Drosophila melanogaster: one gene and its partners. The protein of the gene in region 3 purifies or fractionates together with the protein of the main gene of each other region. This does not show direct contact. Each region holds a gene or a part of one and is shown on either strand. Other genes may lie near its edges.

What was found.
Region 1: the proteins of Snap24 (region 3) and Membrin purify together in Drosophila melanogaster (affinity purification with mass spectrometry, with the first as the bait; one large-scale study listed by BioGRID). This does not show direct contact.
Region 2: the proteins of Snap24 (region 3) and gammaSnap2 purify together in Drosophila melanogaster (affinity purification with mass spectrometry, with the first as the bait; one large-scale study listed by BioGRID). This does not show direct contact.

Annotation. Positions count from the first base shown.
Region 1 is NT_037436.4:5,364,398-5,367,917, reverse strand, and holds Membrin (membrin), read right to left. Parts: upstream 1,464-3,520; 5' UTR 1,320-1,463; coding exon 1,183-1,319; intron 1,114-1,182; coding exon 600-1,113; 3' UTR 537-599; downstream 1-536. Other genes in the region: Pfdn4 (prefoldin 4), read left to right, coding at 1-18, 144-515; Uev1A (Ubiquitin-conjugating enzyme variant 1A), read left to right, coding at 1,762-1,789, 2,833-2,975. UniProt on the Drosophila melanogaster protein: Involved in transport of proteins from the cis/medial-Golgi to the trans-Golgi network.
Region 2 is NT_033777.3:10,119,752-10,123,410, forward strand, and holds gammaSnap2 (gamma soluble NSF attachment protein 2), read right to left. Parts: upstream 1,650-3,659; 5' UTR 1,624-1,649; coding exon 772-1,623; 3' UTR 648-771; downstream 1-647. Other genes in the region: ATPsynepsilonL (ATP synthase, epsilon subunit-like), read left to right, coding at 2,275-2,469; knk (knickkopf), read right to left, coding at 2,773-3,400, 3,455-3,659.
Region 3 is NT_033777.3:9,761,508-9,765,264, forward strand, and holds the start of Snap24 (Synaptosomal-associated protein 24kDa), read right to left. Parts: upstream 1,644-3,757; 5' UTR 1,343-1,643; coding exon 704-1,342; 3' UTR 1-703. Other genes in the region: CG8478 (uncharacterized protein), read left to right, coding at 2,396-2,428, 2,519-3,119, 3,174-3,757.

The DNA of each region.
Region 1 (3,520 bases), on a different chromosome or scaffold from region 3:
AACAAAGTGTTCCAGAACGTGAGTATGGGTGAATCATCAAAGGACAGCTGACTAAGATGAAAAGTAACCTCACTTTGTCATGGTTTTTTCTGTGCATCTGCTCAATTGAAATTTATGATATATATTTTAAATCGCATTTTCAGCACGATGACGTGCACATCTCCTTCGAGGATCAGCAGCGGATCAACCGCTTTGCGAAGCACAACGCCCGCATGGATGACTTCAAAGCGGAGCTGGAAACGAAGCGCAATGAGCTGAAGAGCTTGGAGGAGGCGCTGGAGGAGATTGAGCTGTTCGACGAGGACGAGGACATACCGTTCCTGGTTGGCGAGGTGTTCCTCTCGCACAAGCTGGAGAAAACACAGGACATGCTGAAGGAGACCAAGGAGCAGGTGCTCAAGGAGATCGCCGGCGTGGAGGCCAAGGCGAAGGTTATCAAGGCGGAAATGGACGAGCTGAAGGCTCATCTGTACCAGCGGTTCGGCAGCAATATCTCACTGGAGGCCGAGGATTAATCCACAATTGATCAATTGTTAATTTAACATTTTACAAAATAGAGTACATTTAATTTAAACTCAACTAAACGCGATGTCTTCAGATTAGAGCACTAGGAAATAGATGATCAGGGCGATGATAAGCAAGGTGACCACCACTCCTCCGATGAATATCCGACGATCCTCGACCAGCCGGCGTTCAATAAGTTTCATCGTGTGATTGGACAGACCCAGTGTGCTGCCTATCGCCTGGATTCTCTTGTGCGCTCCGCCCAGCGTCATTCTCTGCGAGATCAGGCTCTCGAGAATGCCGCTGCCCGAGGCAATCATGTCGTCCACACCCCGATGGGCGTTACCCAGCTGCGTATGATGCTGCAGTTCGTAGTCCAATTGCAGGCGCGTTTCCTCCGGCTGCGCGCTGTTTGCCGTGAATCTGTGATTCAGCAGCTGTTCCCTCTCGGAGATCTCCTGCATCCGTCGCTGTCTTCGTTCCCGCGCCGTCTGCAGTGATGTCTGCAGGTGTCTCAGGTCATATTTCAGCTGATCCACACGAAGTTTGGAGCTTTGTCGCTGCGAAGGTGGCACCTTATACAACAGCACATCCAACCGATCGCAGTTTCTAAACACAAAAGATTTATTTAATAATACAAACTCCTCTTGGGATAATATATATCATTGTAGAACTCACGCGTTCGCCTGGGTAATCTTCAATTGAATGCCGTTTTCCACGTCAAGCGATTCCTGGGCACTGAGCTGACTCAGTCGCTGGAAATCGCGCTCGATGTCCTTTACCACATTGTTGGTTTGGTGGTACAAGCTCTCCATGTCGTTACACCTATTGATTCCGCATTAATTTATGGGCCCGAGAATATTCGCAAATTAATATTTAATCGGTTGCAATTGGTTTGTTTTTAAAAAAGCTGACGCGTTAACATTGGACAGAGTGTCATGTTAGTTAACAGCACTGATAGCAGAGCAGCTGGCTGCCGTTTTTGGTATGACCATATATTATGACAAACTTATCAGCTAATGCAACTATTAAATTTCCTTTTTATTTTCAGAGAATATGCTATATATTGTTAAATAATGATTTTTAATTAGTGACCAAATATTGCACTTGACGGCGCTGTTAAGTGTTACCACTGTTAACGGTGTAAAAATCAGAGTTGTTAAGCAAGCCAAGCAAAACCTAAACCGCACTGGTCACATCGCACTGGAAACGCGTTAGCACACTTTTACGGTATTTTAGCACTTAGCATTAACCACAATGGCGAATACATCAAGTACCGGCGTTGGTAAGAAATAAAATTGATAAATTAGCAATTTGGCAGCTTAAAAATGCGATCCCCGCACGCCCGGAGTTGTTGGCCATCCGTTTTCTGCATTTCCCGCTGACCGGCGGCGATTTTTCCGCCGCTACGGACCCGACAAGCGGACCGCAATGTGATTGTGTGTGTGGTGCAAAACGGGCAAAAAGAAGACGAAAGCAAGGGCGAAAGACGAAAGCCGATAAAAGCGAAATGGGCGAATGGAAATTTATTTTCGCCAGCGGACCACGCTGCTCTTGCAATTTTCCTTGGCCGCGTTTGGCGTTGGAAAAACTCCGTTGCAATTGGGCTTCGTGACTTGACATTTTCCGAAATATCATCCCCGCTCCTTCCTCACTATGTGGCTCTCGCTCGCTCGCTCGCGCACGCTCTTCTTCTTGCCTTCATACTTAAAGTTTTTTCTTTATTTTCCTTATTTTTTGCACACTTGCGTTTTTGCAAGCTGCCTTGTCTTTTCTAATTAAATTAGCTGCCATTTACATTTGCCTGGATTGTTTTTGCAAATGCAGAAATTATGCTTTCGCCCCGCCCCCGCCGACACACCCTCCCCCCGCGCCCATCGTGCTTAATATCTGCGCTTCGCATTTTTTTTTTTTGACTTGTGTTCTCTGCACGAAAATGCGTACAAAGTCACACGGCCGAAAACAAAAACAACACGAGAAGCAGAGCGCAAAACAACAACAACACGTACCCATATGACCCCACACTGAGAGGAAAAGTCGCCGAAATATCACCGAAAATGGTTTATACCATAGAAAATGTGTAGAACAGTCCTTACTAGTTTGTTTCTAAATAGATAAAACTGTCGTTTATAATTATATATATGTATCTTATCTGTACGAGCCCGTGATTATAATTATTTAGAAAGCTAAGTACTTTCTTGCCCCGCCAACCAGAAAATTAAAAACAAGCTGACATTTAACTTAATGACTATATTTAAAGATTTAAGTTTTTCAGTGAAAATGCATTATGTCATCGAGTTCTCACCTCTTTGCCGTTTCACATTGCAGTGGTGCCACGGAATTTCCGCTTACTGGAGGAGCTGGATCAGGGCCAGAAGGGCGTGGGCGATGGCACCATATCGTGGGGCCTGGAGAACGACGACGACATGACGCTCACCTACTGGATCGGCATGATCATCGGTCCGCCTAGAGTAAGTTTCCATATCGATTGGACTTTCCTCGCTACGTCACCAGATAAGCCCGGTTTATTAGGCAATTCTGTAGGATTATTGACATCTTATCGCTTAGATTGCGCAGACCATTCAGTTTGGATAGCACCTTGTATCTTTGAAGGCAGTTTATCTCTTCAGTGCGATGGAATTTGATAATATTTGCATTTCATTAGCACCGCTGATGCAACTCATTGTGAGTGTGGGTTTCAAAAGTCATTGGCTTCATTAGCTTCTTATGTGGTAAATATGAATATAAAATGTACCTCTGCTAGATTTTAATCTTATATGAAAACTACAAGCTGCAATCTGGGATTATTGCTAGAAAATATAGGTATAGAAACGCTCGTGCTAATTTATTCTTATTTTATTCACAAGAAAATATTCCACTTTACATGCATTTATTGGGGAAAACAAGGCTCTAGCCTTGAATTACTAGCAAGGAAAGCGGCGGAAAACTAAATTTGCATTTAATTTTTGTATAGTCTAGAAGTGTTGCGCGCGCCGCCGCATGAATCATTGAGGAG
Region 2 (3,659 bases), 360 kb from region 3:
CTGCCTGATAACGCTAATTGATATTGGATGGACTCTAAATAAATCAACTACACTAACAGCGGGCCATGCAATTTGATTTCGCTTATTGCCGGCCACACTTCATCATGATTGTTCGTTGCGAAATGACACTGCGATTGGAGCGAGTGTCCAGTGGATAAGTTTATTGATGGGACGGCTAATTATACACATGGTCTCAACTGTATCTTATCTGCTGCAGATACAAGCACGGCGAAGAGTCCAAAATAATCTAAAGTCCAATAAGCCGATTGATAACTCAAAATAAAATTAGGGCTTAATGTTAAGCTGGGCTTCCTGATCAAATTGAACACGAATTTCTTAAGTGAGAGCTCCAATTATTTGAAAAGAATTTAAAACACATGCTTTAAAGATTTTTTCGTGAATGTATTTGTCAATTTTAATTTTGAAAACATTTTTTTGTCAAACGTTGCATATTATTAAGCGAATATAATTTTAATTAGAACTCGATGTTCAAAACTATTAGTATAATTTTAGGGATATGTAAAAAATATGTATAAAATGCATAAAAAGTAGTGTAAAAGATTGAGTAACAATAAATTTAAAGGTAAAAAATATGTTTCGTATAAAAGTTGTGGAAAGGCATTATAAATTCACCTGATGCGTTTTCTGAGTTAGCACTTTTTATATTTTTGTATATTTTTAACAGTGTACCTACATTTATGAAACTTTTTCACCTAAGGAACAATAATAAAACTACTACAACATTTATAAACCACATTTTGTAAAAGCTCTTTAGTTTGCGGCATTGTCGACTGCATTTTTGGTCATTTGACGATTTCCTTTTGGTAATGGCACATCTTTAGATAAAAGTGCGTACTCCACGTCCATGTGTCTTATGAATGGAGATGCCAGCATCTTGGTGGCCAGCTCAGGATCCTCGTCGTCAAAAGCTTTGAGTAGGTTTTGTAATGTGTTCACCTCCTGGGGATCACAACGGTTTCCCCATTTCTTGAAGGTCTTCTTGGCATCCACGTAATCCTCTAGTGTTAATTGTACCAGTATTAAAGCAACTACTAAACGGCCAACTTGTCCGTAAGACTTTGTCTGCAGATTTAGGCTTATTTCCTTTTTGAGGGCTTTCGTGGCTTCTTCATATTTTTTGAGTCTGACCAATATCCGGGAAACCTTCGATGCAAATTCCGATGCCTGATGAGTGGAGTCCCCAATCAAGACGACTGCCAGGGCGCGTTTGTAAAATCCCAAAGCCAAGTCAGGATGCTTGGATTCCGTCATTTTGGCGGCTTTATCGAGAGCAGCAGCTGCTGCTTCCGGCGAACCATGTTGCTGGTAGAGACAGCAAGCCCTATTGGCATAGTCCTCCACTTCGGACAGTTTGTCCGTTTCTTTGGCAAGCAGGATAATCTGCTCGTAGGATTTGGCTGCATGGAACCATGACTTGTTGTTTTCGTAACAGTCGATGGCCTTCAAAAGACAATCCTTGCGCTTATCGAAACTTTTGGCAATTCGATATGCGGTTGCTGCCTTGAAATACATACCAGCTTTGGCATACTCATTCGCGGCACTATCCGTCTGTCCTATCAAGGCCTCCGCCTCTTCTATCTTTTTGGCATCAAGAGTGCTCATAGTGCTAAGTTACAACCTTTGCGTGTTGAAAAAATCAATTCAAGTGACTTATATTCAAATAAGTGTGCCCAAGTGCGCAAGTGCCGAGAAAAACACAAAAGGCCGCTCCTTTTCTATGCGGGTATGACACTGGTATTATGGTAATATTAAGTGCTTTACTAAAGTTGCATAAAATATATATTTGTATTTAATTAAATAAATGCATACCATATAATATGCGAGCTTGGGGGGTGAAAAGTAAGCTATATTTACATTTCATGTAAGCTGGATTTTGAATATATTTAAAAAATTGTATCGATTTGGTTTCAAATCGAACTTTTATCGCATCCATAGAACTCCTAGTTCGATTAAGTTTGTAGCCCTGTCTGGATAAAAAAAAAACATCGATAAAAAGACACGTGCTTTGCCTTAAAAGATCTTAAAGTGAGGAGGTAGCAAGGCGCTTTGATTTAACTTACTTTGATATTGTAACTTAATGCAATTAAATATTAACATAGGCTTTACCAATCGTGTGCGAAATCTTGAAAAGAAACCCGTCGCTCGGTTTTATATCGAATTCTTAACGGAAGAAGGTAAGATCCTTTATATGCAGATAGCTTTTTTTGACTTATTATCCTAACATCTTTATAGTTAATCCCATATTACTGCAAGATGAAAGCCTGGAGAGATCTGGGTATTACCTATATCCAGTATTCCAACATCGCAGCCCGTGTGGTGCGAGAGGCCCTGCGCATTGAGCTCCGTGCAGACGCCGCCAAGCGAAACATCAGCCATGTGAAGTTCACTCCGTGGGTGAACGGAAAGCCTGTGCCGCGCAAGAAGGTAGAACGTGAATCCGAATCTTAGGCGCCCATTTCGGTGATTTGTACACCATGTTTCATCCAGAATAACAGCTGCCATGATTCTACAATAACATTTCAAATAAATCTAATTCACTGAAAAAATGATGTATATTAGATTTTTTGTTGGGTCAAAACTTCATAGCTCATTCTTCTAAAGTACAACACAGTTCTGTATTTAAATATCATATAAATAATAATATACACAACATTTAGCATACATTCTACACACGCGTATCAAATACATAGATTGTGACTGCTTAATTTAGACTAAGACACTAAATAGGAGAATCTAAGAATGAGAAAACAGTCAGTTCTGGAGCACGAGCCACGGTAGCAGGATGATGCACAAGGACCAGGATAAGCCCATCGATCCACTCTTCAAGTTGGTATAACTGTCCACGATGTGAATCTTCCAGCCCATATTGCCATGGGTAAAGGAGTTGTAGTACACAGTATCCGGCCATGTGATATTCGGTGTAATTTCCAATAGAGCCGGTTCCCCTTCTACACACTCGGTGATGAGGGATCGATTGAACTTCTTGAAAGTGGGGAAGTTATCATCCAGTCGACGATCACTATTTTGAGGATATCTGGACAGGCACAGGGGACCAGCAGCCGTGGGCTTGGGCCTGCCTCTCCGGGTGAATTCAACACCGGCTAATACACGAATCTCACTCTGCTTTGCATCAGACAGTCGGTCATACCCACCCTGGGGATCATCGGTGATAACCAACGGATGATAGTGCTCCGGCGAGTGAGGATTATTGCCACCCCTAACCTTAAAGGTGTAGGTCAGACCACGCTTTAGGTAAAGCTCTGGAATCATGTAGCCGTTGATGTACCAGGCCAAGCCACTGGACACATGATTCGTCAATCCCTGATAGCCACGAAGTCCTCCAGAGGGTCCCAAGTAGGCGTTGAATGTGCGTACCGTTCTGCAAAACAAGGAACTATATTAAATTTTCATTGCAGGAAGATTGGAGTCTTACGCATCTGTTATCCTGGTTCGCTCCCACACTGGAGGATTAGTCGTCTCCGCTCGTTTTGTAAATGCAAAGCAATCATTAACCGGTTCTGTGGTGTTAAAATCTATCACTATATCGCTCTTGGGATAGTAAGTGTGAAAGGCGGGCTCGTTGTTGGAGTCCAATGGGCCAAATGCCCAGATCACGTAGTTGCTGCGGTCTAGGAAGA
Region 3 (3,757 bases):
ATAGAATTGGTGCTTGGACTGCTGTGCTGGGCTTGCGAAATGCCCAAATACATGGCCTACTTAAAAAGGGTTAACAATGGAGAACATAAAATTGGCTACGTTATACATAATTTCCGCCCGTCTTTGTTTGGTTTTTCGGTGCCCGTGCGGGATGCGGTGGTTCTACGAATTGTAAATACATTAATTCACATTTATCCATCTCAGCAGTTGCTTGGTTTGATTTCACAAAGATCGGTAAAATGCTCAAAAAGTTTGTACCAAAAACAGAGTACATCATATACGGTAAATCTCATAATAAAATTGTTTCCGGCGCCATCTGGTTGCCATTTGTACACGAGTGTAGTAATAGTAAGTAGTTAGTATGTTGGTTCGCATATATGTATATATATATATATATATATATATATATATATATATATATATATATATATATATATATATATATAGTTTTAGAAAGTAGTAGTTAGTTCATCCGGCTCGGCGGCTTAAAGTTCTTGTAAGTAGATGGGTTTGTTACGCTTGCGTTTGCCAGGAGTAGTTGCCACTACTTGTATATGTGTATAATATATGGTATCAATAACGCAATACCACCAGCTACGGTTTGTGCCCACAACATTGGTTTCTTTCCCTAACAACATTGAAATGGAGGTGGTGTCTGACTAACATGTTCGCTATGGTTTCGGGACGTGGCCGTTGTGCATATTTAACTCTTGAGCAGATTGTTGGCGCGCTTGTTCACGCCGTCCATGCGAATGTTGTTGGCATCGCCCTTGGCATTGATGCGATCAACCTGTTTGTTTTGGTTCTCCAGCTCGGAGCCCATGTCCAGGGCCATGTTGCGCAGGTTGCCCAGCATCGAGTTCACCTGCCCGAGATTCTCGTCCATCTCATCCTCACGCGCATCGTTCGTGATCCTGGCCACATAGCCGGACTGCGGTGGTGCACCCATGCCGCCGCGTTCCCGCTCATCAATGACCCTTTGCGGCTGGCTGGCCACGATTTTGCCATCGTCATTGGCCTTCCAGGCGCTCTCACCGTCGTCCTTGATGTTCACCTTCTTCCACGGCAGCACACAGATGCCACAGCACTTTTCCATGCCACTCAAGTTCTTCTCCGCCTCCCTCATGTCCGCGTTGATCCGGTCCATGCCCTCCTCAATGCGGTCCAACTGCTCGCCCTGGTCATCCAGGGCCACCAGCGTGCGGATTCCAGCCTCCTTGCTTTCGTCCATGAGGGCGAGCATCCGACGCGTGCTCTCCAGGGATTCATCGGCCACCTGTCCGGACTTGAACTGCAGCTCCTGGAGCTCAGTGCGCGGCTCGGCATTCTCCACGGCGGCCATTTCGGAACTATCTATCTGGTGAGATCACTTGAACTTGAGCTTGGCAAGTGGTTGAGAGGCAAGACGGCTGTCTTGTTTTTTTTTTGGGTGGGGAAATCTGGCCAGTGACTCACTCGCGCGAGATGAAAAACTACCCTTGGTGCTGGTTCGGTGTGTGAACTCGGTGGATATGTAATTGGGGCGGGGATGAGCTCGTTTGTGCTCCGTACGTAGGAACTTATTGCCAAGGTTTAATAATTTATTTGCGAAAGTATGAATTTTCACACCACACAACAATTCGCCAATTTGTATACTAGAGCTGCAAAAAAATCGATGTTAGTATCGATGTCGTTTTCGATAGGCGATTTTTACGTGTGTTCACACTGTTTAATATTGCATTTAGGCTTAGTTCGCAACAAGTACAATTAAAGAAATTATGCAAAACAAGCTGCAAACTATTTACGAAACAGGGCTTGCTTACGTTTTACTATTAAATCTGAGTTTAAAAGTTTAATATTGCATTTAGGCTTAGTTCGCAACAAGTACAATTAAAGAAATTAAGCAAAACAAGCTGCAAACTATTTACGAAAGAGGGCTTTCTTACATTTTACTATTAAATCTGAGTTTAAAAGTCGATTTACCATGCATAAACTAATAATCCAGTCTGATATTACACTTTTATCTAAGACATGAACCCTGTTCGAGTCTGATAAAACACAATTATTTTATGTTTTCAAAAATATTTCCCATCTAGTCACTGTAACCTTTCAATTCGTCGTGTGCCGAAAAAATTAGATTTATTTCTACAAAGTCTCCTACGCGTTAACATCAATTTGAAAGTAGTGAAGAATTTATAGTTTTTTCAATACTTTTCATAATTTAAAGCCGCGCATTCCCATCGGCGCCGTTGCTATCTTCATTGCGCGCGCAGTGTTGAAAAGTGTGTTTGAAATATTAACGCTTTGTTTTTTCGGTACAGCGTCGGTCTTCAGCTGCTCGAATTTTTGCTTAATTGCTTGTATTTATTAATTTGGGAATTCCTCGTGGCCAATTGGGAATAGCATATACTTAACCATGGACGATTCGCGCAGAACTATGGCCGGCAAGGCAAGTGTTTGGTGGTTTCAGTTGGTGTTGCTTCCATTTGCCGGGAAAAGACTTCCGAACATTATCCCATTTTCATTGCTAAAACAATAGTTTCACTTCCAGCAGATCGATTCCCGTAGCTCATCGATAATGACAAACGATGAGAGCGTCTCCATGTATTTATCCTTTGACGCGGAGGACACCCTGTCCAATGCCAAGTGGCAGTCGGCCCTGGTCACCCAGAACAGCCAGTTCCTGGAGGTGCACAACAGCAAGGTGGAGGTAAACACCGATGATAAGGACCTAAGGCGCACTATCCTAAAGGATCTGCATCAGTTGACCATTGGGGAACCGGACCAGAATTCTCCTCTGCGCCCATTTGACAAAAGTATTCTTAACCGGCACAACGCCTTGTGCTCCACTCCCTCCAAGGGCAATATTTCGACCGAAACGCAGACACCACAGATCATGGAGAGCATAGATCTGACCCAAATTGACGACAAGGAAAACACACAACCGGAGGGGTGTGGCGGCGATAACTCGACCTTGTCCAGTTCAGTGGACGTGACCGCCAATACGGTTAAGGCCAATACCCTAAAAACAGGGGATGCTACCATGGACAATGTATCCTTGCAGGAGGCTGCCAAGACCCCAGCTCCCAGCCAAGTCTATCCCTTGAGTGCGAACGTAGTTTTAGAGAATATAACTGAAGGTAGGTTTATACTATTGAGATATGGTTTCGTTCTATAAACATCTACATTTACAGTATCCAACGAAGGAGTATCCATGCTGGTCTCGCCAGCCGGAGCCGAAAAGGAGGTCGCCCATGTCAACGAGGTAGTGAACGAAGTCTCTGAGCTAATTGCCAAAGCTCTAAAGATCTCCGCTGATTCTGTGAAGCCAGCGACCTCCAAATTAAAAGTGGAGGCGGGCAAGAAGAGGCAGTCCATGAGCTCCACTTATTCGGGTGCCGCCCTACCGCGCCCTCGGCGCTCCTATCTGCCCACCACCACCGCAGAGACGCGAACGTACTCCTTCAAGCAGCGCATGTCGGTGGTGGTCAAGACAACGCTCAACAGCCCAGCTCGCAAGCGGAGTGTCGGTGGCGGTGTGTCACTAAGCCGTCGCAGCTGCTTGCCCGTCTCCAAGCTAACAAAGAGCAGCATAAGAAAGTCGCTCGCTGTGACCAGCGTGCGTTCGCCTGAGAAGATCGCCTCAAAGCCGGCTAAGACATCGACAAAAAGCATTCCGGAGAAAGTTTTTAGCTGCAAGAATTGCAGCACAACCTTTCGGGTGAAGTCACTTCTTGACGTGCATATGCGAATGCACGATCCGGTTGACAACGGAGCC